4 linked regions of the Diceros bicornis minor genome follow. The main gene of each other region encodes a partner of the protein of the gene in region 3 in a complex. Links are inferred from orthologs where the notes say so. Each region holds a gene or a part of one and is shown on either strand. Other genes may lie near its edges.

Evidence for each region.
Region 1: TADA3 (region 3) and SUPT7L share a complex: the UniProt entries of both Homo sapiens proteins name them as parts of the STAGA transcription coactivator-HAT complex. The link is inferred for Diceros bicornis minor from reciprocal best matches to the Homo sapiens genes TADA3 and SUPT7L.
Region 2: TADA3 (region 3) and SGF29 share a complex: the UniProt entries of both Homo sapiens proteins name them as parts of the ADA2A-containing complex. The link is inferred for Diceros bicornis minor from reciprocal best matches to the Homo sapiens genes TADA3 and SGF29.
Region 4: TADA3 (region 3) and TAF5 share a complex: the UniProt entries of both Homo sapiens proteins name them as parts of the TFTC-HAT complex. The link is inferred for Diceros bicornis minor from reciprocal best matches to the Homo sapiens genes TADA3 and TAF5.

The regions. Positions count from the first base shown.
Region 1 is NC_080751.1:55,263,251-55,270,512, reverse strand, and holds the start of SUPT7L (STAGA complex 65 subunit gamma), read right to left. Parts: upstream 3,007-7,262; 5' UTR 2,948-3,006; intron 2,799-2,947; exon of another isoform or gene 2,516-2,798; intron 2,506-2,515; exon of another isoform or gene 1,749-2,505; 5' UTR 1,647-1,748; intron 1,013-1,646; 5' UTR 808-1,012; coding exon 395-807; intron 1-394. Other genes in the region: SLC4A1AP (kanadaptin), read left to right, coding at 3,102-3,755, 3,972-4,167, 5,617-5,739, 6,515-6,575, 6,898-7,037.
Region 2 is NC_080765.1:22,000,232-22,007,335, forward strand, and holds the start of SGF29 (SAGA-associated factor 29), read right to left. Parts: upstream 3,013-7,104; 5' UTR 2,999-3,012; coding exon 2,864-2,998; intron 1-2,863. UniProt on the Homo sapiens protein: Chromatin reader component of some histone acetyltransferase (HAT) SAGA-type complexes like the TFTC-HAT, ATAC or STAGA complexes.
Region 3 is NC_080741.1:82,755,652-82,762,513, forward strand, and holds the start of TADA3 (transcriptional adapter 3), read right to left. Parts: upstream 3,011-6,862; 5' UTR 2,924-3,010; intron 2,847-2,923; exon of another isoform or gene 2,701-2,846; intron 2,581-2,700; 5' UTR 2,523-2,580; intron 1,819-2,522; 5' UTR 1,793-1,818; coding exon 1,586-1,792; intron 211-1,585; coding exon 1-210. Other genes in the region: ARPC4 (actin-related protein 2/3 complex subunit 4), read left to right, coding at 3,432-3,434, 6,273-6,391. UniProt on the Homo sapiens protein: Functions as a component of the PCAF complex. The PCAF complex is capable of efficiently acetylating histones in a nucleosomal context. The PCAF complex could be considered as the human version of the yeast SAGA complex.
Region 4 is NC_080745.1:68,226,146-68,233,395, forward strand, and holds the start of TAF5 (transcription initiation factor TFIID subunit 5), read left to right. Parts: upstream 1-4,239; 5' UTR 4,240-4,247; coding exon 4,248-4,806; intron 4,807-7,093; coding exon 7,094-7,250. UniProt on the Homo sapiens protein: The TFIID basal transcription factor complex plays a major role in the initiation of RNA polymerase II (Pol II)-dependent transcription.

The sequences.
Region 1 (7,262 bases), on a different chromosome or scaffold from region 3:
CTAATAGTACGAGAATGAGTCCATGAATCTCAGTTTGAGGACTCTGAGCCAAACCCATAATATACATTTTAAATTAAACAGAAAGACTAGACCCTGAGGACTATGAGGCCATGGCCTATTTTACATACCAGTGTAGTACCTTGCTCCTAGCAAAGTGCTTGGCACATAGCAGGCACTCAATAAATATCTGTTGCATCAGAAAATAAAAAAATATAGACTTTGGATTTGGAAGATCAGGGTTCAAGTCTTAGACTTCCCACTAATTACCTGAGCAACTGTGGCCAAGTCAATTACCCTTATCCTCAGTTTCTTCATGGAAATGTTATTACATGCTTAACAGGGTTGCTGGGAAGATTATTTGAAAAAAGTAAGACACAGCAAAGCCTTGCCTTACCGATAAAAGTCACTCTCTGGGTCACTGTGCCGGATCTGGAATGGTGCATTGGGATTCTTACAGTCTAAAGGAAGGAGGTCATCAGGAAGAGGAGGTGACCCAGGGCAGGAGGGAAGAGGTTCACTCTCTTCAGTCTTTACACCTTCTGTCTGTTGCTGATTCTGGGCCTGAGCTGTGGCAATGAGGTTGCGCAGACGTCGGTTGTGCTGGATAAGCTGAATGGTATGGATGGTGAGGCTGCATGGCTCTGAGGGGATGTCCAACATAGTGGGGGGCTTGGGCTTGTTGGCTGAGGGTTGGTGCAGAGGAGGGTCATGGACTTCCACCAGACGGAACTCCCGTGGGAGCAAATCAAAGGAACTTCTGTTGGCCTGGCTTGATGAGATTGGTATCTCTCCCCAGTATCTCAACATTTTGGAATAAGAAAGGAAGAGCTTCCAAGTTAAATGTAGATGATATCCTAAACTAGTGTCTTTAAATCTCTGGCAACTGTAGGTTATAAACTTCTGTAGTGAAAAATATGAAGTCTAGCCCGTTATTTACATAAAAAGTAGGTTGTTCAGGACCACTCAGAAAAATGTCAGTGTCACCAACACTGTAGGACCGAAGATGTTCTCCCTGAAGAAATTAAGAGAAATATAACTGCTAGAAGCTAGTCATCACAATCACACACAATGACAATTCATATTAGACTGAACCACAAGGTGGAATTTGGGTCACTAGTAGACTAACAGCTGCAATAGTATCTGGGGCTGTAGTGTCCATGTTTTCCATCTCACCCCCCTAACTCATTACTAGAACTACCATCATGCCCAATCCTGAACAATTTTCAAGACAAGATACTTAAATGAGACCTGGAATATTTCTCAAGAGTATTTTGACATATCTGTCCCAGATCAGTGGGAGAAAGGGGAGTAGAGTTAAAGATAGACAGAGGTGGTTCTTATACTATGTGTATCAGGCATGGGAACCTTTTAACTGATCTGGTGAAAAAAGCTATTAACCACCAGTCTAAATGGTCCTATGCGTGCAACTTCTGACATATATAGGGAAGAATCTGGGAGATTTCTGCTGCCTCTTAACTGGTATTCCTTATTTTAGTCTCGCCTTATATCTAATCTATCCTCCATAGTGCTGCTAGACTTAATATTTTTAACTCAGATCTAATGGCTTCCCATTGTCTACAGGAAAAAGTCAGTCAAAATTCTTTGGCTCTCCATTCAACAAAATTTACAAACTGGCTTCAACTCACCTTTCCAGATTCATTGCCCATATGTCTCTTCAAATTCAACAAACATTTATCAAATGCCAGGTATTATGTGAGGAGACAAAGACTAAGGCCAAGATCTCCGACCTGGGGTGAGGGAGAAAAACATAAACAGAACGCTTCAATATGAAAGTGTGGGCTTAGTGCTGTTCTAGAGGTGCAGACCTGGTGCAGTGGAAGCACAAAGGAAGAGATTCCTGGAGACAATGACCACCCTAGTTCTAACGGTATCATACTACTCATTTTAAGAATGCCATGCATTTCCACAGTTGACTCTTTAAGCTGTGATCTCTGTCAGCAATGCCCTGCCACCCACCACATCCCTGGCAGACTTGTCTTCATTCTTAAGTATAGCTTAAGTCACCACCTTCCATCACCTACCCAGTACATCCTCCTTCATTATATTCTCACAGCACTTTGCATATCTCTGTCACAGCATTTATCCCTAGACTTAACTAGTATTCATCGCAATCAATTTTATTCTCTCATCTATCCCTCACGACCACAATCTTAGTACAGTGTCTGCAACACAGTAATTATCTGGCATTTAATTAGTGCCCACTATGTGCCAGCCTTTGCCTTTACTGTTTAATTCAATTCTCCCAACTACCCTATAAGTAGACAAAATTATTATCCCATTTTTCAGATGTGGAAGGTGAGGCCCACTGTCTTGCCTAATGTCAGAAACAGCTGAGAGGGAAAATCAAGACAGTCAGTCTCCAGAGTCTGCAGTCTTAACAACTACACTACGTTGCCTCATTAACTGGTTTCGGAAAGCATATAAAAATGAACGAATAAATGAATGAACAAAATGACAGAAAGAAAAAAAAAACCGCCCTCTTCCCTAACTTCACCCAAAGGAGCACGAAGGGGAGGCACCAAGCCCAAGCAATGCCCAAGTCCCTCGGGGGGCTCCTCGGTCACGGTCAGCGGGCGCAGGCGCCAATCACAGGATCCTGGGGTCGCCTGATGCTCGGAGCGGCCGGCAGACGGCAGGTCTGACCCTGGACCGAGGCACGGAGGCGCCACTATTCACTGCCGCGGCGCAGGAGCCGGGCTGGGCGGCCGTACGGCCCCAGAGGCCTGAGGCGAGGGTCGCGAAAGGCCCGGAAGGCTGGTTTGTTGATTAGCGGTCCAAGCCTGCCGGAAGCGTTTCTTCTCAATCAAGCTAAGCCACAGGAAGTTATTACAATCCGGTTGCAACCTCTAAAGATGTCCCCATTCTGACAGCACCCCGACCGCCTTTTTCTGTTTTTCTCTTGTTATGATCTTCCCGTGATACTCACCTCTTCACAGCGTTCTGGGTCGTGAAGGAGCAACTCCACCATCGCTGGCCAGAGAAGCCTCTGGGAGCTGGGGAGAGGGAGGCGCGGAGAGGAACGTAGAGACCGAAGGGTGACGTTTCCTAGGAACAGATTTCGAGACTGCACCCGATTGAGGATGGCTGATAGTCCCACTCAGTGCGAGCCGCTGGCCTCGCAAGAACTCAGTAGAGACTTCAAGAAGCCAGCTCTGCCGGTGCCCCCGGCGGTGCGGGACAAGGCCGCGGACCGCAATCCTTCAAACCCTGACGAGGTGAAGAAGGAAAGGCCCACGGCGCTGCTGGACCCCGATTCCGAGAAGCCTGATGTCCCGCCGGACAGCGGGGAGGCTCGGAGTCCCCCAGAGGAGCAGCCGCGGCCCCTCGCAGCGGCTCCTTCCCCTGGTGGCCCGGGCCGGGCCCCGCCTTACCGAGAGCCGCCGTGGGGCGGCCCTGCCACAGCCCCCTACAGCCTAGAGACCCTGAAGGGCGGCACCATCCTTGGCACCCGGAGCTTGAAAGGGACGAGCTGCTGCCTTTTCGGGAGGCTGCCTAGCTGCGACGTATGCCTGGAGCACCCCTCGGTGTCTCGCTATCACGCCGTGCTGCAGCACCGGGCGCCCGGCCCGGAGGGAGAATGCGACGGCCACGGGCCCGGCTTCTACCTCTACGATCTGGGAAGCACCCACGGCACTTTTCTTAACAAAACCCGCGTCCCACCCCGCACCTATTGTCGGATCCACGTCGGGCATGTTCTTCGCTTTGGAGGCAGCACCCGGCTCTTTCTTCTTCAGGTAAGTAGAAAAACCTAGAATTGAAATTTCTGGAGCCCACCGGGCTGGGTTCCTGAGCTCTTTAAGCTTTCAATGAGGAAGAAGATTCTCCCAGTTAGTGATTACAAAAGTGGAATCTGGCCTTTCATGTCCAGATCTCTGTATACATTGCCATATTTCTGAAAGTGACTTCAACAATCCTGAACTCTAAAAGAATTCTTTCGCTTGTTTCATCAGGGACCAGAGGAAGACCGAGAGGCAGAATCCGAGTTGACAGTCACCCAATTGAAGGAACTGCGCAAGCAGCAGCAAATGATGTTGGAGAAGAAGATGCTAGGAGAAGACTCAGATGAAGAGGAGGAAATGGATACCACTGAAAGGAAGAAAAATACTAGTGGTCAAGATGATGAAGTGGGCTGCACCTGGGGAATGGGTAAGAAATTACAATTGCTGCCAGAGGTTAATATTTTAAATTCATTGCTAGCAGTATCTTTTTTTTTTTTTTAATCATACGGCTGTTCATGACTCTATGAGATAGGTAGGACAAATACTGTTTGCACATGAAGTTATCAAAACTCAGAGAGATTCCTTACTTTTCTGATGTCAAGAAATTGAACTATGAGCACTATGGATTTCTTCTAATGTGTTTTACAGTACAGTCTTGTTCAAAACTGTTCTTCAGCATACAATTTATTTTTTTTACCATTTAAAAAAATATATAAGTACTGACCTTGATTATCACTGGAGGGGATGGAACTACATTCAATCAAATAAAATGGAATGTTTTCAATATAGGATATTACCTCGAATCTTTTGTACTTTGTGTAAATACCCTGAAATGTGAAATATCTAATCAGGGAAAGCTGGTCCCTTAGCCAAACGAATAAATTGAATTTTCCACAACACCAGACATTTTGGAAGATGGGTGTTTAGGAGGTAGGAATATAAAAAGATAGAAGATAGCCTTAATATGTTGTTGGGAAGACAGGATAAATGAAATTACTTGTGGTAAGTGCCAGACAAAAGCTAGAAACCATAAATATGCTGGAGTAAAAGTTCAGAGAAGGGAGCCATCACTGAGGACTTAGACCTCGCTGTCCAATATGGTAGTCACTAGCCACATGTGCTTATTGGGCACTTACAGTATGGCTAGTCCAAACTGACATGTGCTGTAAATGTAAAATACACACTGGATTTCAAAGACTTAGTGTGAAAAAAGAATGTGAAATGTTCATAATATTTTTATATTGATTACTTGGTAATTTCACCTGTTTCTCTTACTTTTTTAATGTGGCTACTACAAAATATAAGATTACACATATGGCTTTCATTATATTTTTGTTGGGCAGCACTGACTTAGATCTTTAGGAAAGTTTATAAGTTTATAAACAGAAGGGTTTTGTGCTGGGACTTGAAGGATAAGAAGAGTATCCCTTGGGAAGTTGAGCATTGGGAGTGGTATTCAGGGCAGGGATTGATGATTTTAAGGGAATAATGAGTATACCAGTCTATTTGGTAGTTACGATATGCATTAGGAAATTCTATTGGAGACCAAGTATTAGACCCGGGTGTAAGAGAACAAGGATGCCAGGCTGAGGAGCTTAGATTTTTTCTGTACACAATGTGGTAGGTAATTTTGCTTTTAAAATGTAGTGATGGAAAAAAAAAAAATAAGGTGCCATGAAAACAAGTTTTAATTGTCATACAATTTAGAAAACCTGAAGATACTCTTACTGGTGGTTTTGTGGTTATCCTTTGCAGGTCCATCCCTTTCTTTTCATGACTGATAACTGTATCTTTATGCAGTCTGAAAGAATAATGGATGTCATTGAAATAGTCTCTTATGTCTGATTGTCTTTTCTTTCTTTCCCATCTCCTGTAGGAGAGGATGCTGTAGAGGATGAGGCTGAAGAGAACCCCATTGTCTTAGAGTTTCAGCAGGAAAGGGAGGCCTTTTATATAAAGGATCCAAAAAAGGCTCTCCAAGGGTTTTTTGACCGAGAAGGTATGTAAATAGATTCTGACGCTGCCAGCAAAATGTATCCACAGCAGTGTTGTTTTCTAGATCTTCAGGTACTTAGAAATGCTATATTTTATCTGCTCTCCTCCTTGTTTAGTTCTTATCCTTGTGGTCAGTTGCATCAGGTTTATTTTGAAAATAGTAAAAATCTTGTTAGTCTTTCTTCTCATTTTGGAAAAAAGGAAGTACTTTTTCCTGGCTTGTCTCATTCTTCTCGAAAAATCCTAGACTTGGGTGGTGGGGAGATTGGCCCAACTTCTTGTAATTTTTTGTTTCTAATTCACCTGATCTTTTGTAATTCTTACCTTGAATTTTCATTTTATATGATTAAAGATTGTTTCCACAGACAATTGTTTCAGTAGAGATGCTTTGAGAGAATATGTGTGTGTGTGTGTGTGTGTGTGTGTGTATGAATATATATATGAACTGGTTGTGTTCTGCACTTAACACATGTACTTCTAAAAACCAGGCAACTGTGATGAATTAACAGCTTAAGTCTACAACTTATAAAAAGTGTGAAAGCTACTGTACAGTGGTCAAAGCTATGAATGAAGAGTTGATTGTTTTGATCTGAGTTTGCTCTTCTTTGCCTCAAGCTCATCCTAATTTTATTATTGGATGATAATCCCTAGGAATGAGAAGTAGTCAATGTGATATGGGAACTTGATATTCTTATTTAACCTTTGCTCTGTTTTCTCCTTGTATCAACTAGTAATTGTCACATGCTGTTAAAATTGTTTTGTCTTTCTTCCTCCCACAGGAGAAGAATTAGAATATGAATTTGATGAACAGGGACATAGCACTTGGCTCTGTAGAGTAAGGTATGTTCTTTTCTCATAAATGTCCATTACAGCTGTAATTTACGATTATAGACAATAACCCAGAGAGTAACTTTAGTCTTAATTTTAGGCTATTCCTGAATTTGGGCCTTGATAGTTTAGTAACACATATTAATGGGGGGTGGGGTGGGATGAGTAAGAGAGAAGGAAAAGATTTGACATCCAACCTTGGCAAGATAAAACAAAATGAACTGAGAGATTAAAAAGCCATCTCAAAAAACATGACTATTATCACAGCGTATTAGTTTTTTTCATGAAAATTGGAGCTTAGTGCTGTGCTATAATTCCCTTCAAACTGATGCAGATTACCTGTGGATGATTCAACTGGAAAACAACTGGTGGCTGAGGCCATTCACTCAGGAAAGAAAAAAGAAGCTATGATCCAATGCTCACTGGAAGCTTGTCGAATCCTCGATACTTTGGGATTGCTGAGGCAGGAGGCAGGTGAGCATGTGGGAACATGTTTTTTCTTTAAAAAAAAAAAAAAGGAAAATTTAATACAAAAGGTAACAAAACCTTTTTTTAGAGGGAAATGTAAATTGTATAAAATTCTATGAAGTGACAAGAAAAAATTCCCTATCTCACTCTCTGAAGGTAGCCATTGTTTATTTATATTCTCCCAGACAGTTTCTGTGCATATAGATGTGTGTTCAGAACGAGATCCTTTAA
Region 2 (7,104 bases), on a different chromosome or scaffold from region 3:
AATAGTGGCAGAGGAGGGATTCAAATCCAGATACGTCTGACTGCACAACCTAAGCCTTAAGGGCTCAAACAGCCCTTAGTATCATCAACATTCAACTACCATTGGTTCAGGGTCCACCAAACTACCCTCCACACCACAGACATAGTGACCACAAATCCTGAAGTGACATAAATTGGGTATTTTTTCAATACAAATGATTCATCCAAAGTCTACATGAGATTCATTTTTAAAACTTTTATAAGAATCTCTATATTCAAATTTAGACATCATAAAAAAAGGCCTGTGACTTACTGCATGTCCCTACTTCCAGCTCCACAAAGTTGGTTGCTAAAACTATGGACTCTAATGGACCTACCCACTGAGAAGAGGGTGCTTCATGGTTGGGTCAGGTATTTATAAAACACTTTCAAGGCATTGCTTCAGATCCTGGACAGCACCTCTCAAACGGCCCTCTCCTACTGAACCCTACCCTCCAATAACCACACTGAACAACTCCAGTGCCCCCAACACAGACTTTCATGCTTCTGTTATGCTTGCCTGAAATGCCCTTTGATCCTTTTCCCTCCTCCCCCTGGGTCTCTCAAATTTACTCATTATTCAGGGTCCAAATTAAATGGCAGCAAAATTAACACTTTTACAGCAGTACTTGCCAACCTTTCTCACACCACAGCACACAGAGAACGTGATAATATTTGTATAGCACGCTGGGGTAAAAGGGCAAAGCTGCTCACAGGCAGAAAAACCTGGCAGGGGGATCTGGCTGCCCCAGGCTCCTCTCACCTGCCCTGATGCCAAGGTCAATCAAAACTTCCGAAGCACCATAAACAAAATTCCATTCTTGTACTTGTCACACATACACTGAGACACTGTTTCATTTACTTGTCTCTCCTGTCAGACCACGAGCTCTCGGAAGACAGGGATGCAATTTTATGCATTTTATATTCTCAGCAACTAACACAGGTCCTGGCCCCTACTAAGTCCTCAAAATAGATTGCTGAACTGAACTGAATCCTGGAAACCTCTTCAAACAGTCTTTCGTCTTAGAAACACTGCAACAATTCTGAATCTGGGCTATTCAATATCTTCTCCTCCCCAACCGCAGAGAAAAAATTAGCTGCTATCAACATACTCTAAGAAGGATTGTCTACTTCCCACCTATAGAGAAGAGGTACTTCCTCCTTATAAATTCACTCATTCAATGGGGCCGGCCCTGTGGCATAGCGGTTAAGTTCATCGCATTCCACTTCAGCGGCCCAGGTTCATGGGTTCCGAACCTGGCACGGACCTACACCACTCGCCAGCCACGCTGTGGCAGCAACCCACATATAAAGTAGAGAAAGATTGGCACAGATGTTAGCTCAGGGCTAAGATTCCTCAAGCAAAAAAATGAGGAAGATTGGAAACAGATGTTAGCTCAGGGCTACTCTTCCTCAGCAAAAAGAAATTCACTCATTGAATAACATTTATCACCTACCTACTCTGTGCCAGACATGAGGGATATACAGCAGTGAATGAGACAAACAGTCCTTGTCTCGCTCCAGTCTAGAAATGAATGCAGATATTAAACAAATAGTTCCAAACACTTATTTGTAGGTGAAATAAACACTCTAAAAGGGACACAGAGGACAGAACACCCATAGAGGACAGAATAGATAAATCTGAATAAATAATGACAGAGAACGCCAAAAAACTGAAAACACAAATTCTCAGGCAGAAAGGATCCACCAAGTGCCAAAGAGAATACCTACAATAAGACACCCAGCAATGAAACTTCAACGCCTCAAGGATAAATATGTGCTAATAGACGGATGGAGGAGGAGGAGACGGGAGAAGCGAAAGACACCAAGGATAACTCAGGTGTCTGGCCTAAGCAACTGGAAGCATGGGAAGACTGGGGAGGATGAAGGCGTGTGGAGGGTAAAACTCCAAATTTCAGTTTTGGACATGTTTGAGATGCTGATTAGACATTAAGAGGCGACGTCATGCAAGAGCTGAATATAAGAATCTGGAGTTCAAGGTCGGGCACTGGTTGAAGATGGAAATTTGCGAGTTAGCACAATACGTGGTATTAATATTTAAAGCCTTGAAATGGTAACTCCTAGGAATTGAACACAGAGAAGAGATCCAGGATGAGGTCTTGGGGCAGCACAATCATTAAAGATAAGGAGGAGGAGCAAGAATCAGCAGAGGAGAGGCCAGAGAGAGCTGAAGCTCAAGACGAGAATGTTCCGCAAGCCCAATGAAGAACATGTTTCAAGAAGGGGCAGTGATCAGCCGCATCAGACACTGCTACGGGACTGAGAACTAAACACTGATTTTGGCGACCTAAAGATCATTGGTGACTTTGACAAAGAGCTATTTCAGCGGCATGCGGGGGCCAAGGCCTGACTGGAGTGGGTTCAGAAGAGACTCGGAGGAGAAACGGTGCTAGTAAGTACAGACTGAAGCTTTGGCTGCAAACCGGCGCAAAGAGATGAGGAGGCACCTGGAGGGAGAATGAGGTTGTTTAGTTAAAATGGGCACATCCTGAGCATATAATAAAACACGCCAGAGCTCGGGGCCCGTCCTCAGCTCTCATCTTCTCGCACCAGCACTGGGTTCCCCGCCTCCGCCGGCCCCCGCGCCCAGCCCCGCCAGCGGCTGCTTCCTACCCTCGCAGGGCCGGCAGCGCACGCGCAGACCCCAACGACGGGCGCGGGCCCTCCCTCCCCGAGCCCCGCCTCTCCTGGCCCAAGGCGCGTGCGCATCGCCACTCCACAGCCGCCTCAGCGCGGCCCGAGGGGGTGGGGAAGCAGGGGGGCGCCTGGGCCCTCTGCTCCCGCCATGCTGGGGGGCTCCCAGACCGCGACCCATCCCTGCCTACCGAGCCACGGTGGAACAAGAACGTCGCGCTGGAAACTGCGACGACGGAAGCAGGCGCGTTCCTCGAATCCTTTTCAAAGTCTGCGGATAATAACGCGCTTGCGTTCGAAGATTCGCGGCACGTTGAGAACCGCATACGTTTTTTTCCTTTCTTTGAGTCGCGTCGTGGAGGACCACTCTGCGCATGCGCCGTCCTTCTTCTGTGACGTACCGCGCTGCCCCTTGGGAAATGTAGTCTTTCCTTTGACACGCTGTTGTCGACCATTTCAGCTGAACCTTGTTTTAACAAACCAGGGTTCTTGTGCGTTTTCAGTATCCTCTCCTATTCCCCGAAGCCGCTATAAAATAGTAATAATTTTTTAAAAACCTAAAAAACGAGTAGATTGTTGATTGAGGGGGGAGCAGTGGGTATATGAGAGCTCTACTTTCTGCCTCGGTTTTGCTGTGAACCTGAAACTGCTCCAAAAAATAAAGTCTATTTTTAAAATTTTTAAATAAATAAAAACTAGCAGATCTGTAGACCCAGAAATCGTGCTTTTAGGGAATCTTCCCAGGAACATATTAAGGATGTGAGCAAATACTTAGCTACAATGGTTTACATCCCAGCATCTTATAATTTCTTACATACCATACCCCCTACCAAAGTTTATGGTTATGTATTTATTTGTTTGATTATTGATACACTTGCCAGCTCAGTGAGGTCAGGATCATCTGTTTCCTTCACCTGTGTATTCCCAGTTTGTAACTCAGTGTCTGGCACACAATAAGCCCTTAATATTTTTCTATTCATTAGAAGAATCTCAGACTTCAACACAAACTGTTTCAGCCCAGAACTTAACACATCATTTACTTCCATCAAGCTTGCTTCTTTCTGTGGTGTCTATCTCAATGGCATGACCACCTACCCAGTCTCAGCTTTATCTCTTGCATTTTATGAGGCGTATAGCAGGGATTTCACAAATTTTACATTTGTAAGTCTCAGGAGCTATTTCTCCTGAATGTCAAATATCAACCTTAGTTGCCCCACCAGAGAAATTTGGGGCTCACAATTGTTTTTTTGAATTTTCTTTAATTTCTGATCTTTCTACAATAAACATGTATTACTTGATTAATTTTTTAAAAGTGTTTTAGAGGGTTGTCTATATGTAAGGGATAGCTCTGTCTTCCCCTTCACATCCACATTTCTCAAAAGAATCACCTGTCCTCAGATTTCATTTTCTCACCTCCCTCTCTGCAACAAGGGCCCGAGCCAGCACCTGGGAGTTATCCTCGACAGCACCTTTTCCCTCCCCACTCTGTATTCAATCCATCACTAAGTGTCTGCAGTATAAACACAATAACAGCTCATGTGTTGAGCACTTACCATGTATCAGGCACTGTTGAAATGCTTTACATGTATTCATTCATATGACAGAGTCCATCCACTTTTCATCTCCACCGCACCTACCCTAGTCCAAGGTACTTCCGTTCTTGCCTAAATAACTAAGAAGCTTTTTATTTTTTTCAATCCCAGATGCGGAGGTTGAATCACTCATTTCTCACTTTATGGCACACTGTCATCATTGGGCTCTGCATGGCCCCTCTCTTGTTTTGTATATTGATGGCCTTTTATCTCTTTTCTTCACTCCTCCCGTCTTCCCCAGTGGTGTGTGTGTCTGTAAAACATTTGTGTTGTTTAGTGTGCCTTTATCTTTAATTCAGCTAAATGGTATTGTACTATAAACCTTGTTCTCTTTCTTACGTTTTCCACTCAGCACCATGCTTTGAAGACCTGTCCTTGTTGTGTGTACCCCTAGCCTGTTACTTAGAATAACTGTGCAATATTTGATAGCGGGCACCCATATTTTAGTTATTTGGACCCACGGTGAAGGGCCTCTAAATTGCCTCCAACTGCTGGCTACCACAAACAATGCTACAGTGAACGAACTCATACATGTCCCCTTGTGGCCTGTGTGAAGATTTTTTGGGATGTCTATCCACTAGTGGCAGTGAGCAATAGCTCCTTAAGCTGCCTCCCCTGATCCATTCTGGCCAGAATGAATGCAAGTGTGTTCGTGTCCTGGCACCCCCGGCCTCCTGCCCCACGGCCTCCTTTCCCAACCCACTCTACCTCCCTCTCCACTTCAGCTTCCCCAGGCTTCTTCAGGTCTCTCAGACCTGCCGTGTCCCTTCTCCCACAGGCCTCTGCAAAGGCTGCCTGGAGCACATTTCCCTCCCCTCTTTCCCTTCATATCTCTTACTCATCTTCAGATCTCCCTGACTGGGTCACATCCCTCTGATATAATCTCTCAAACCAAGTGTAGACCTTACATAATTGTGATGGTAAAACAAATGTCACAATTTTATATTTGTTTGTAACCTAATTTGGCCTATCTCTTACCCCTTAGATTATAGACTCCATGAAGCCTGGGCTCATATCTGTTTATGCTCATCACTGTATCTTTAGCACTTAGCCTTGTACCTGGCGCATAATATAAATATAAATATAATTTTTAAATATAAATATTTATTAGATGAAAGAGAAAATGAAGTTATCATCTCTGCTCAGGGAGAGTCATTGAGGGGGCAGCATCTTGGTGGGGGTGACTGTTACTGATTTTGGTCCTCAGCTCTGCAGGACCAGAAATTCCATTTTGTCAGCAACCTCTCAGGATAGATTCACACTGACACAACTCACAAGAGACAGAGGTATAAACCAGGAGCCCCATGAACCATATAGGGAGATTTAGAATGGTGGAACTGACTAGAACACTCCCTTTGCCTGGGCAGCACAGTCCCTTCCTGTGAGACAGCCACAGCATGGCAAAGAAATCTAGGCTTTCCTGGTCTATACTGAGTCTCATTGCTTCAGAACATCACATCTGAAATCCTTTCCAAAGAGCCTTGAAAAGTCACGGGGATCTTTACTGAAGGTCTCTTGAGGACACGAGGAGGGAGTTACATATCATGCCTTCCTAACAGTCCCTTTACAAGTCCCTCCCTTCACAGAATTCCACTGCTGAGGACAATGCTCACATCTCTCCCTCCTCGTTGCTTCCTTCCCCCACATAATTGGCCTTTTGCATGAGGGCTTCAGGCATCTTCCGTGTAAAGCCAGCTACCCCTCCCTCAGCTAGTCCCTGTTCGTGCCCAGCCATCACCCACTTGAGCAAAACAAAAAAGCTCTCTTTTGGATCTGACCGCCCATGGCAGGTAGGTGGGGAAAATCGTAACTATTCACATTTAATGGGTTTTGCCCCCAACACATACAAAAGAAGCCATATCATGGCCAGAAGGTGGCATGGTAGGCATGGAACCCAATGGAGGAAGGGGGTTAAATAAATTAACTCTTAAAAATTACTTTTGTTTCCTCTTTCTAAAATAAATATACACCGTGAGAAGCCAAACATTGCAGAGATCTAGAATCTATAATGCAGAAAGGAAAAGTTCTGCATAACCTCGGTCAAGGATATAATCACAGGGGCCGGCCCCTGTGGCGTAGCGGTTAAGCGCACGCGCTCGGTGTCGGTGGCCTGGTGTTCGCAGGTTCAGATCCCAGGCACGCACCGACACACAGCTTGTCAGGCCATGCTGTGGCGGCGTCCCATACAAAGTAGAGGAAGATGGGCACAGACGTCAGCCCAGGGCCGGTCTTCCTCAGCAAAAAGAGGAGGATTGGGATGGATGTTAGCTCAGGGCTGATCTTCCTCACACACACAAAAAAGGATATAACCACTGTGGAGAGTTTGGGACACATCCCATTAGCCCCTTTGCCTTTTTTTCAACAACTAAAATAATTTTTCAAACAGAAATGGGATTGTAGCCGCGCAGCAACCCCTTGGGCTCAGGCTCATGCTTGGGGTGGCGTGGGGGTCAGGGCAGTGGGCAGCAGAGTGCCAGGCCCCCGCAGAGTAGGGGGCTCCACAGCCACGACCTGCTCTCTCACCACTCCCTCAACCTGCAAGCTGCTGGTCTTCCCCAGCAAGAGATTATTTGAATAGATTTTCCTCTGTAAGGATGGAGTGATGTTTCACGTTGAACAAGCCACCAAGCTATGCTCAAAGATCACCCCGATCGGCCTGCAGGATCCTCTTGACATTCTTCAGAACCCCTTGAAGACCAGTACTCCACAGGGGGCCTCAGGGGCACGTCGCCATTCAGGAGTGGTCCATCAGTTAGCCTCTATGGAACCTGGATTGGCATTTACACAGTCAAGGATTGTTACCCTGTCCAGGAAGCCACCCAAAATTATAATGTGATGTT
Region 3 (6,862 bases):
TGGGTCATCAGTGAATTCATATTCCTGGATCTTGGGCTGAAGGTTTTTGGATTTGGGCCGTCCGGGGCCAGGGCCTGGCCCATGTCCTGCCTTCCCTTCCAGTTTCTGCTTCTTGGGCTTCCCATGTTTGGGGGGAGCTCCAAGTTCATGGTCTCGACCCAGCTTCAAGAATCGTCGGTCACCTTTCTTATCCTGCCAATCAGTGAGGATCTGAAATTCACAGAGACTGTCACTGAGGGAGAGAAGGGAAGACACAGGACAACTCCTTCTTCCAGTGAAAACTCAGGATCTACAACTCCAAGAGGCCCCATAGCCTTCCCCTATCCCCTTTTTATTTAGCAAATTCCCACTCATCCTTTAAAACTCAGCTCCTTTTCTGTGTGCATCTCACAGGACTTTATTCATATACTTCTCATCATTCCATTCATTGTTTGTCTATACTGATTCAGCTCTGTAGCACCCAAGCCAGTCACATAGTGTTTAGCAGAAAAGTCAAATGAATGATCACACCCCAGTGCATGTTAGCCCTGGGAAAATATGCTGGTCATAACTTTTTGGTGAAGGCAAATAAGCCTCCCAGCAAACCTTCACTTCAAATGTCACAACTGAGAAGTCTTCTCTGCATCAGTTACCCAGCTTCCTAGATGCTAAAATACAACTGACTGTGCCACAGACCTGCTCAAAAAGCTTCAGTGGATTCCCAAGGACCACAAGTTAATTTTATTCATCTTCTGAGGCCCAGTTGAAATGGCATCTTCTTCCTCTATGAGTCTGTGGTACTTCATACCTCTATTGTAGGCCCAATCGTGTTGTTTGGTCTCACTGGAATGAACAGAGAACCTTGTCTCTTCAACTAGATTATAAGCTACTAGAGACCAAGAAGTTCATCTGAACCATCTCTGTTCCCCAGGGTCTGGCAGAGCACCTGACACACAGAGCTCAGAAGATGTTTATGCTATGAACAGAAATAATCATAGTAATACCAATAAATAACATTTGAAATGCTTACTTAGTGTCAGACATTGGGCTCAGCTTTGCAAAAAAACCCTCTCTTTTAATCCTCACAAAAAGCTCTGAGGTAGGTCCTATTATTCAGCCCACTTTGCAGATAGAGAACTGATACTCAGCGCCAGGAGGTAACTTTCTCAAAGTCACAAAGCTAGGAAACAGCAACACTAGCAGGTGCTCAGGACAGGATTCAAATCCAGGTCTCTCCGTTCCAGGTCCCCCAGGACTCGTAAACGTAACAGCACATCACCTGGTACTTGTCTGACTCCCCTTCCCTTTAGTTGGCAAACTCCCTGAAGGCCAGAATTGTCCTAATTACCTCTCTCTAGACTAGCACAAGACCCAGAACATAATGGGGGGTGGGGGTCAATAAATGCCTACTGAATTAGAAATCCTGTAATTTACGAGGATCACGCATATTCTTGCATATTTTACATGTTACACAAGCCTATTTTCGGTCTCTCTCTCCTCTGCTAAGCTTCTGTAACCCAGGCTTCAGCAGATGGGGTTAACTCAAGGACCCAACCCATAACTTGTCACAGTTCATCCCTGGTGACGCCCCCTCTGGGGGTATCACCTGGGTTTCGGCCTCGAGCACCCGCAGGCGCCGACTGGCAGAGGAAAGCAGGGTCTCAAGCTCCAGCTGCAGAGTATCCAGCTCCTCGATGCCGATGCCATCATCCTCAGAGCGGGCCAGCACTGCCGTGTAGCGGGGACACACCTTCAGGTGGTCCACAGACTTGAAGTCATGGAACTGCAAGGGGCAGTCCTTCAGCTCACTCATGGCCCAGGATATGGGACCCTGTGGAGCTGGAGAGGAAAAGACCATTGATGGGAGATAAAGTGGCACGAGAAAAGCCCAAGGGCTCCTTCTATCCAGGGACAGCCTCAAGGAGAAAGCCAGGCTTCAGTACCCTATTGCCGAGGTTGATGGCACAGCTACTCACAGAGCATCTACTGTGTGCCAAGCTAGGTGCAGACATTTTACCAGCTTCTCATTAAATTCCTCATCCAACCCCATAAGCAGGGACCATGGTGATCTCCATTTTACAGACAAGGCAACGGAGACTCTGTAAGGGTGGGTACATGCCCAACCTTACCAAGATGCAATTTGAATCCAAGTAGTTTTGAGTCCATGCCCCTAACCACCACCATATACTATGCCCTGTCTTTCTGATGTTCTTCTCTTCTGTTCCACTCCTGGGTTGTGCTAAGTCCCTGAGTTGGAAGCATCTCATTCTTATAACGATAATGTTCTCTGTGCCTCTCAGCCTCTCCTTGTCTCACCCCTCCCCACCTTTGCCCCTGACAGCGGTTAAGAATGTGGGCTGGTAAGCCAGACATATCCGGATTGCAGCCCAGGCTTTACTATTCGTTATTTATGTAGTCCTGACCATGTTATTTAACCTTCCTGAGTCTCGGTTTTCCCATTTGTAAAATGAGGACAAAAGAAGCCTGAAGTCTGTTTCCCCATAAGTCTGAATCTGTAAAATGGGGATAACAATAGTACCTACCTCCCCGGGATGTTCTGAGGATTAAGAGATGATGCCCGTCAAGAGCCCAGTTCAGTGCCTGGTACAGAAAAAGTGGGACTGCTTACTGGCTGGCACCACCCCGTGGGTGGCCCCAATGTCTCGCCTTCAATGTCCTCGTCCTCTAGGGACCCCCTAACGCGGCCCCCTCCCCCTCTACCTCCTCACTGCAGCCTACTACGGTCCCCCAGGCCGCGGGAGGCGGCGGGGAGTTCCGGTCTGTCGGAGCAACCGCCCCGGAACTGGCTGTGTGCCGGCCCCTCGCAGTTGACGCGGGGGCGGGGAGACTCGAAGGCGAGCTCACTGTGGCTTGCGGGGGTGGGGGTTGGCGGGCCGGGAACGAGCGCAATGTAGGGGGGTGGGGCGGTATGCCTCGATCGTACCCTAGGGAACAGCCCGGGGCAGGGGGCGGGGCTCGGCAGTCGGGTTCTCCACCCGGTAGTTAGTCCCGCCGAACCCCGGGAGCTGCAGGTAGGCGGGGCTCGCAGGAAGGACGGGGGCACAGAACCGGAAGAAACGAAGGGCTCCTCCACTTCGCCTTGTCCTATTATGGTACTCAACCTGAGGCTGGCTGCACCATTACATGACTATGGGGGAAGAAAGCGGCAAAGACGACGAGAAGGCCAAAGTCACAAGCGAGAGCTGCATGGATAACGGGAGGAGCTTGAGTAGCAAGGTGAAACTTCAGGAGTCTAAAACTACCAAGACAGTCCTGGCGGGAAAACTTCCGAGGGACCAAGTGTTCCTAGGCTCTTTTTCCCCCGCTCGGAGCACAGATGGTACCGTCCGGAAGTCCGGGAGGAGACTGCGGCTGCGCTTCTCGCGAAACGGCAGGCGTCGCGGGGCTGGCCACTTCCGCACTTCCGCTTTCCGGCCCAGCCAGCGCCCGCGATGGTGAGAGAGCCGGACCCCGGGCCAGGGACCCTCGCTGTTCTTCCTCAGGAGTCTGGGTCTGGGGGAGATGCAGCTTTGCAGCGGAGAGGCCCGGGGCCGAGGGATGCTTGGGGATGTGGGGCCACGATGAGGCTGGGAGAAAGAGGGTGGGGCGGGGGCCGAAGTGAGGAAGGGGCGAGCGGGGGACGCCCTCGTAAGCACCAGGCTTTGCGGCTTCGTGGTCTGGCTTTCGAAGCGAGTCGGGAGTACTCCTGAGGCATGGAGGAAACCGGAAGCGGAGCTCCTTAGGCTTGTGGTAGCGCCTCGAAGGCGTGTAGTAGGTCTCGTAGCCCGTAGTAGGGCTGCTGAGGCACGTAGTAGAGCCGCCTCTCCACCCAGAGTAGAACTGCACTAGATACACTGCCCTGTCGTCTCCTGCCCACTTGACCCCGCAGTTTCCCAAGGGAAGCGTCCGCATTTAATTATCCTACTCTTCTTGTTGCCCCCAGCCTTGCTTGTACCTTGCTGAAAGATTTCTTTTATGCCGCCTCCACCCCGTCCCCTTCCTGGTCAGAACTCAATCGTGTCAGCCTTACTGTAGCATGTAAGCTCTGATACTGCTGATCCCTCCCTTCCTGGAAATCCTGCTGTTTGATAAATGTCAGTGTTCCTGGGAGTTGAGACTTTGGCTCAACACCTTCGTCTTCTTTACAGTCTCCCTATTGATAGCTAACTAGTTTTCCGACTTTAATGACCTTGTGTATTCTGGTGACTCCTGAGTCTGCTTTCCTAGGTCTCTTTCAAGGTTTGCCTGGATATCTTGAAGACAGCCTGAAATGAGACCTCCAGGTCAAAAGTCACCTTTTCTCCTAATCGCTCTTCCTGCTATGTCCCTTATTCTGGCTTTGTGTCCTCTTAACCCAGCTAGAAACCTGGGATATTCTTTTTTTCCAATTGAGGCCATGCCTCTTGATTTTTTAAAGATCAAGTTTGTTGAGGTATTACATGAGACTGTGTCTGTTTTATTTGTGAAAGGGCGGGGGTCACTGGGCTGCCCACCTAAAATTCACCCTTTTCAGGTTTACCTTCTGTGAATTTTGACAAATACAGTCATGTAACCACTGTTACCATCAAGATCAAGAATATTTCCATCACCTCAAAAAGTTTCAAATCCCTTTGTAATCAGTCCTCCCTGCCCCTCAAGCAACCACTGATTTTTTTCCCCCTATAGTTTTGTTTTTTCCAGATTGTCATATAAATGGAATTCTTCAGTATGTAGACTTTTTAGTGTGGCTTCTTACCATAGTGCATTTGCAATCCATGCATGTTGTGTGTATCAGTAGTTATTCCTTTTTATCACTGAGTAGTATTTCATTGTATGGATGGACCATAGTTTGTTGGGAGTTGTTTTTGGATTCCATTATGCTGGACAACCCCTGTGATCCCCTCTGTTTGTCCTTTCCACTGCCCCTGTCCAGGCTCTCATCAGCGCTCCTTAAATAGCCCTCTCTGCCTTATGTCTCACTTCCCTCTCCAGTCCATTCTCCACAGAGTCACCATGTAGCTCTAGTCGTGTAACTTCCTCTTCAAAAAGCCCCAGCAGTTCCTTACCATCTTAAAAGAAAAGCTACACTCAGTAGCCTGGCATTTGAGATTCCCCATGAATCTTCAGGCTGCCATTGCAGCCTTATCTGTTGAATCTAAAATGCTTCCCATATACAGCAACAGTGTACTCATTACTGCTTCTGGAACTCTTAATGCCCTTTTATGTAATTCTAACCTTAAGTTCTTTCGTTCATTCGTTCATTCTGCAGAAACTGGGTAAGACATTATATGTTAGGTAGTGACTGAGCTAGGTGCAGCATATGTAGATTTGAATAAAATAGACATGGTCTGTTGACCATGAGGCTTACAGTCTAGGAGTGAAGGAGAAATCACTTTACTAAAGATGTATGAAGGGTGTGTCATTATAAATTATAATAAATGCTATGAAGAGGGAAGTTAAGAAAGGCCTCTTTGGGGAAGGAAGAGGCCTTTCCTGAATAAGCCAAGATCTGAAGGATGACTTAGGCAAAGAGAGGGGAGAAAAGCCTGCAGATTGATGGTTCAGCATGCTTAAAGCCCTCAGGTGAGAAAGAACTTGGCTGATTAAAGGAACTGAAGATAGGCCAGTGTAGCTAGAAGCTGATCTCTCTACTGGGAATGGCCTTATTCTGCTGCTTCTCATTGTAAAATTCACCTAATCCTATTTCTATCTTCAAATCAAAACCAATTTCTTCTGCAGATATAACTTGTAAATCTAATTATTTCACATGTCATCCTTCTTTATATCATAGTTATTTTCTCTGTCTCCTCCTACTTGAGCTGTTTAAGGGTAGAGATGGTCTTAATCATCTTTGAATTTCCGGCACCTAGCTCAGTGCCTGGCATACAGTGGACTTAGCCATTTGTTGGCTCAAAAGACTGATGGAGGATAGTCATTCACCTGTATGCCTCTAGACCAGAGTTTCTCAACTTCAGCACTATTTGGAGCTGAATAATTCTTTGTTGTGTGTTGAGGGATGTTTAGTGGTATGCCTGGACTCTACTCCATGCCAGTAGCACCTCTCCCCCTAAGTCATGACAGTGAAAAATGTCTCGATGTTGCCAAATGTCCGCTGGCAGACAAAATCGTCCCCTTGAGAATCACTGCTCTAGACTTTGAATGAAAGACACTTTGAAGGCCTAGTCTGTTCTGTTCACTGTGTTGTCTGAGAGCTGGGCACCCTCCATACTGCCTGGCTCCTATGTGAGCTGGAGTAGGGGGCCAGTGGCTTTGGTGAGACAGATGCTGATCCTCCCTTGGGGTTTTTCCTACAGACTGCCACTCTCCGCCCCTACCTGAGTGCCGTGCGGGCCACGCTGCAGGCTGCCCTCTGCCTGGAGAATTTCTCCTCCCAGGTCGTAGAACGACACAACAAGCCAGAGGTGGAAGTCAGGTAGGGAAGGAAAAGGTCAGGGTGGGGGTGATGAGTGCAGCACCCAGAGATGGCTGTTGTCTAGAGGGTGCCATGAGCCTCTGTCCTGGAGTTGTCAGGACAGTTACAGCTCATGTATTCTGTCTTGCTGCCAGAGAAACAGTAGTTCCCAATTTGGAGTTCAGAAAATAGGGTCAGTGGGTTGATAGGACAAAACCCAGAGGAGAAGCTACCCTGGAGCAAAGATTGCTTGACACAAGGTATGACTTCTCAGAGCAGGGCCGTTTGTGAAGGATCTCCTGTGGCATTATTGAACCCACTGGAAGGTTAAGGAGAGGACGGAGAATTTAGTTATCTGAGATGTCATTTCCCTCCTTTTCTAATTTAAGATCAGGGATTTTTTCCCCTCACTAACCTGGATTGTGTCATCCCCTACTCCAGATATTCCATATTTTGGATTATTTTGTGTTATCTGGTTTATGTTTTGTAAAT
Region 4 (7,250 bases), on a different chromosome or scaffold from region 3:
TCAGTTCAGACCAGCCACATTCAGTGGCCGTAAATAGCCACACACTGATAGACAGTGCAGGTCAGTTTACTGCAACCACTTCCAAACTGAACTTGCTATCTCTAGTCTTGCTTCCCGCTGATCTTTTCCTCCAATTCAGCCTGAGACATATAAACACATAAGTCTGCTTATCCCCTTCCTCAGATTAAAATGGTCCAACCGCTTCCTATTACCTTAGGGATAGAGTCAAAAGTCTTGAACAGGATTGATTTTTGTCAGGATCCAACCCTGGCTAAGCTTTCTGGTCTCATCTCTTCTTCCTCCTCATGCTGATGCTCCTGCCATAAAGAGTTTTGTTCTATTTCTTAAATATGCTCTCACCTCTCTCACTTCTGGTCCTTTGCACATCCCCTCCCCTCCCCCTGCCACCTGTCCCAAGGTTTCCCTCTAGCACAGTAAACATTGTTACTGTCTGGGCTCCATCACTCCTTTTGCCAACACATGCACACACCCACACCCACACCCACACCACACCCACACACACCCCTCAGGAAACTTTCCTGTAGTCAATTGCTACTTTTGACATTCCTCTTTCCAGAGTGAGGTGGGAAAGAGACAAACACAAATAAAGGGCTTTTCCCCAAACTAACTCTTGTCTGTGGCCCCCTGACCCCTTTCACTTTGAGCTGCTATTACATACACACACACATACACACCCTTAGAGTTTTCACAGTTTTTACAGATCTATCAGTTTCAGTATCATCTCTAGGGTTGGGTATGACGGGGAAGCCAGCCACCAGTGTGAATTTAAACTTAAGAACTAAACAAGATGGCAAACTCACACTTGTGGCTGGCTCCCCTGTCACGCCCAACCCTAGAGATGGCATTGTAATTTATAGATCTGTATAAACTGTGAAAACCTGAGGATACGTGTGTTTGCATGTATGCGTGTGTGTTGGCAAACAGGGAGTGACGCAGCCCAGACAGTGACACCACAGTCTTTCCTCCTTTTGGCGCATCCTTTGCCTTTTCCCAGTGCTGGGCTTCAGCCTCTCCCTCTGGGTATACATATCAGCCAAGGTAGCTGATACCTCCAGGAAAATACAAATGCATGGAGAAAAGTAATGAGATGCAGAAGGAGGTGCAACTCCCATTAAAGCAAAAAATGGAACAACCTAGACTAGATGAAACAGATTAAATGCATCAGATGGAAAGATAATTTAAAAAAAATAACACATATCCTCGAAGAGAAAAGAGTTCATATTGGTTACATCAGGGTTTCTCAACCTTGGCACTATCAACATTTTGGGCCAGATAATTTGTTGTGGCAGGGGTGGGGCTGTCCTGTGCATTGTGGGAAGGTTAGCAGCAGCCCTGGCTTCTACTTGCTAGATGCCAGTAGGACCACCCCGAGTTGTGACAACCAAAAGTGTCTCCAGACGTTGCCACATGTCCTCAGGGGAGACAAAAATCACTCAACTGGGTTACATGAAGCAGCAACAATAAATCATGAAGAACCAATTCAAAATACTATGGAAAATATAATGGTTGAAGTAAATAACTCAATAAATGGGTTACGGAGCAATATGGATCTAGGCCAAGAATGAATTACTGCACTGAAAAATCAGGTAGAGGAACGCTTTTAGAAGGTATCAGGAAGAGGTGAACATAAAAATATGAAAGTTAACAGACCTAGAGGAGAGACGTATAAGTATCAATATCTACATCACAAGAATACAAGAAGGGGAAAAATAGAGGGGAGAAAATATTTGTAGATCTAATGCTTGCTAAATTTCCAGAATTAAAAAAAATATCCCAGGGGCCGGCCCTGTGGCTTAGCAGTTAAGTGCGCGCGCTCCGCTACTGTCGGCCCAGGTTCGGATCCCGGGTGCGCACCGATGCACCGCTTCTCCGGCCATGCTGAGGCTGCGTCCCACATACACCAACTAGAAGGATGTGCAACTATGACATACAACTATCTACTGGGGCTTTGCAGAAAAAAAAAAAAGGAGGAGGATTGGCAATAGATGTTAGCTCAGAGCCAGTCTTCCTCAGCAAAAAGAGGAGGATTAGCATGGATGTTAGCTCAGGGCTGATCTTCCTCACGAAAAAAAAAAAAAATATCCCAGACTGAATGGGTGCATAAAGGGCCAATCGGAATAGACAGGAAAAAGGTAATCCTAGATACAGTAGAGTGAAATGAAAGAACATCCAAGACAAAGAAAAACATCCAGAGAGAAAGAGCAGCTGTTCTATAAGGGAATAAGATATAGATTGACACTAGACTTCTTAAAGCATCCCAGGAAGAGAGTAGGCGGAGAATGGGAGTAGGGATCAGAAAGGAAGCGGAAAAGAGAAACAAAAATTAAAAATGGGACTTGCGGGCATTCAATAAACATCTCTACTGTGGTGTAACACAAAGCCACTCTACTTGGAGTAGGCAACCTTGGCTGAAGTCTCAACCCAGACTCTTTGGAACTTAAGAGACAAAGTCAGGTAAAAAGCAGACGCCACAGATGGAAAGGAGGTGGCTGTACTTCTGTGAGTCCTAGTGTCTGGGCTTCAGCTGTACAGGTGGATCCAGTTCCCAGGACTTGATTCACGAGACTAATGTATGCATCAGAAAGTTAATTTCCTAGTCATAATGGGGTAAAACATCTTTTCAGTGAATAGTAAACACACCTGGGCTTGTTATTCACGGCATCTCTCATCTATCTAAATGTTCAATTAATTATTAAGTTAATTAGTGAATACTGAATCAGAAAAAGTGAGTTGAATGATCCCGAAGAAAAGGATGAATTCTCCCCACCTCATAAGAGTGTACCATCAGATTCAGGTTTTCTCTCTCTGGGCCAGTGCTGAGTGAACGCTAACCAATTCTTGCTCATCTTCTCTCCCCCACCTCCAACCCCATGTTTCATATTCTTACTTTAGATAGCCAATTAAATTAGTTTTATATTTCAGTCTTGAGATCACCCTGAACATTATGATTGGACTTTCTTAACAAACATTTACAGAACACCTTTTAGGGGCTGGCCCAGTGGTGCAGCTGTTAAGTGCTTGCGCTCTGCTGCAGCGGCCTGGGTTCGCCAGCTCGGATCCCCGGTGGGCTCAGACGCACCGCTTGTCAAGCCATGCTGTAGCGGTGTCCCATGTAAAGTAGAGGAAGATGGGCACGGATGTTAGCAAAAAAAAAAAAAAAAAACACCTTTTAAGGTGAAGTAAAAATAACCAATAGCTATTTATTATCTTAGGTATCACACACGCTTTACCTCATTTAATCCTCACAACAACTCTATAAGGTAGGTACTATTATTATCATCCCTATTTTAGAAATTGAGCAACTGGAGTAGAGTGAGTTAAGTAACTTGTTCCCGGTCATTCAAGGAAGCCAGTAAGACCTCAAAACAACAACCTGAATAACTGTGCCAGATCTTCCCGATGTCCCAGGCTCACTTTTCTTGTCTGTACCTATCCCACAGAGTTGTGAGGTTCAAATGAGATAAAATACACAGCAGTGAAGCATGCATATGAATGAAGCTTATTGCAAAACGGTATATACTATTTAAAAATATACAACTAAAATGCAGTTTATTTGTAATAATGGATAATATAGCATGAATACAGAATGTACATATTTCACAATCACAAAATTCAGGTACTTAAAAACTTTTTATTGAAATATATATGCTATAACGTTCACAAAGCTTAAGCGTGCACTCGATTTTTACAAAAAGAAAAACTGCAAAAATAAAATAAAAATAAACACCATCTAGATCAAAATATAAAACATTACCATTATCTCAGAAGCCTCCCTCTGACAAATGATATATGCTTTTGAGTTAAAGACCTGGATTCGAATCCTGACACTTTGCACTTCCTTCTTGTGTGACTTTGGCAAGTTATTTAACCTCTTTGGATCTCCGCCGAACAATCTGTAAAGTGAGGATAACAGTACCTTATAAGATTGTTGAATTAAAGGTGGTCATATAATGTAGAACGTCTATCACAGTGCCTGAATATAGCTGGTCTGTAATAAATGGTAATTATTATCAGGCAAACGTAATAGGCGGCTGCCTACTCTCACTTCCTGCCTTTCTGTCACTCACTTTCGAAAGCTGCCCTGGCTCCCATTTCTCTTCTCCTTCTTTCTCGCCCCTCCTACTGCCGTAAATTGCCTTCCAGAACTGTCGTAAAATGCTCCTCCCCACCCTCCATGTGGCGAAAACGCAATCACGCTTGACGGCGCGAGGTGGCTCAGCCGCAAGATGGCGGCGCTGGCGGAGGAGCAGACGGAGGTGGCGGTCAAGTTAGAGTCTGAGGGACCGCCGACGCTGCTACCTCCGCAGGCGGGGGACGGCGCTGGTGAGGGTGGCGGCGGCACTACCAACAACGGCCCCAGCGGCTGCGGCGGGAACGTTGCGGCGTCGTCCTCGGCCGGCGGGGATGGCGGGACCCCCAAACCCTCGGTGGCTGTCTCCGCCGTTGCCCCGGCGGGGGCGGCCCCGGTGCCCGCCGCTGCTCCGGAGGCCGGCGCTCCCCACGACCGACAGACTCTGCTGGCCGTGCTGCAGTTCCTACGGCAGAGCAACCTTCGCGAGGCCGAAGAGGCGCTGCGCCGTGAGGCCCGGCTGCTGGAGGAGGCAGTGGCGGGCTCCGGAGCCCCGGGAGAGGCGGACGGCGCCAGCGCTGAGGCGGCTAGCGCGCTTCTCAGCCGGGTCACAGCCTCGGTCCCCGGCCCTGCGGCCCCCGACCCTCCGGGCACCGGCACTTCGGGGGCTGCCGCCGTCTCGGGCTCAGCCACAGGTCCCGCGGCTCCGGGGAAAGGTGAGCCGCGGGGTCTCGGGGAGGCAGGGCCGGCAAGAAGGGGAGCAAGCCGGGAAGGCAGGGGATGGCAGGCCTGCACCTCTGCGGGCTTGTTTTGAATTTCCTGGGCCCGCCTCTAGGGCCACATGCCCGCCCCTTTCTCTAGTGCGCCGGCTGCGCAAACCGTCTTCCGAGCTGTCAATTCCAGCGAGAGGCTGAGGAGAGCTGTTGAGCAGAGGGATGTATGGGGAAGGTGGGCGCGGAGAGGCGGGGACTTTCATGCTCTCGGTCCCTTTCCTCTTATTTGGGCTGTGGAGCTTTTAGCAGCTCTACCTTGACACTAGCAATATTTGTACAGTTCTGTACTAGCATACTTTAAGTACTATAAATACTTGAAGTTGTGTATCTTAATTCTTACAGTTCAAACTGTGACGTAGACGTTACCTCTATTCTAGAGATGAGAAAAAAGACTGAGAAAGGCCAAGAGACTTGCTCTGGATCACACAGCCAGGGAGTGATGGAACTTGGTGTAGCCAGTATTTCTCAAAATATAGGCTAAGGACCACCAGTGTTAAATCTTTTGGGGAATGCGGATTCCTGGGCATCACTTCAGACTAAGTGAATCAAACCCTGTGGAAGTGGAGACTAGGAATCTGCATTTTTAATAAATGTTTCCAGGGGGTATTGATGTATGACAAAGTTTGAGAACCGTTCGTTTAGGAATAGTGGTTGGGGGCCGGTCGGCTCCGTGGCGTAGTGGTTAGGTGCGCGAGCTCCGCTGCTGGCAGCCTGGGGTCGGATCCCGGGCGCGCACCGACACACCGCTTGTTAGGCCATGCTGTGGGGGCATCCCATATAACGTAGAGGAAGATGGGCATGGATGTTAGCCCAGGGCCAGTTTTCCTCAGCAAAAAAGAGGAGGATTGGCAGATGTTAGCTCAGGGCTGGTCTTCCTCAAAGGAATAGGGGTTGGGGAGACCTGGGTTCAGATTCTGTTTCTGTTGCTTTTTCTTGTGTGATGCTGATTAAGTTATTCTTCCTAAGCTTGAGCTTTTCCCCCCTCTATTAAATGGGTTATTGTGAGGCTTGGATATAATATATGTACAATGCCTAGCACTGATAAGTTTATGACTAGGTGTCCATCCCTGACATCTGAGGGCCCCCCCGCCCCTTTTCCCAGCAACTGTTGTCTCCAAGTCCATGTAGGAGTAAAACTCCTACACAATGTAAGGTCTTAAAGGTGATCCTGAGTTGATAATAAACATTTATTGAATTAAATTATCTAGTGCAGAGCCTCTGGGCAAATTAATCTGTATTTATGAAACCTAATTTTTGCAGCATTGCCAGAGTGAAGTATAATTAGATAGCACTGTAACTCATTAAAAGAAATGTGTGAAAATATGATTGAGAGGAATCTTTTCTGAATGCTAAATTTTGCACATGAACTATAAGATGGATGAATTATGTTGTTGGTTATTTTACTGTAATCTCTCATATCTTCAGAAACTTGACCTATTTTTTTAGATCATAACTCAGAAACCAGTAAGGAGGAAAAGAAGCCATAAAAGTGATTAACAGATTTTATAATATTTGTGCAGTAAAGAGCATAACATAACAGTTGCAACTTAAAAATTGCCAACAATCAAACTGATTTGATTGACAGATGTATCATTGTTTGGGATTGCTATATTACAAATAAATACTCATGTTTTCTGCCTTGAAATGGTGGTTATGGAAATTGTTTTAAGCCTATAAAATTGAATTATCTTTTGGAAATATAAATAAGGCAAGGTCCTTCCTGCTCTTAAAATGCTTACGTTTTATGAAGAGTAATAGATGTACACATGTGAAGGTAACATATGATGGGATGTATTACAGGAAAGATACAAAGTACTTACGTAGCTCAGAGAGCTGGGACTATTACTCCAGGGCATGAGTTGGTGGTGGTGGGTGCCGTTTGCACTGAGCCTTGAGAGAAGATTAATATAGTTTTTTGATTTGCACATACCTTGTTTTATAAAATTTGTCTTTAATATAAGGTAGCTCCAGGAAAAATAGTGGATCTTTTTGTTATTGATTTGAAAATTTTATTTTACGATATGGACAAGCTGAAGGAGTTTTGGATGGGTGACGGAAACAAAGTGAAAATCCCATTTAAAGATCACGTGGTTGTGTTGGGGAAGAGAGCTTGAGAGGAGTGGGAGAAACATTTGAGAAACAATTCATCTCTGGACCTTAGTAAAATAGCCCCAGTTACTTGGTACATAACATGTCATTTTCTTGAAAGTTGTTTTCATTTTTTAAACAGTTGGAAGTGTAGCTGTGGAAGACCAGCCGGATGTCAGTGCCGTGCTGTCAGCCTACAACCAACAAGGAGACCCCACAATGTATGAAGAATACTATAGTGGACTGAAACACTTCATTGAATGTTCCTTGGACTGCCATCGGGCAGAGTTATCCCAACT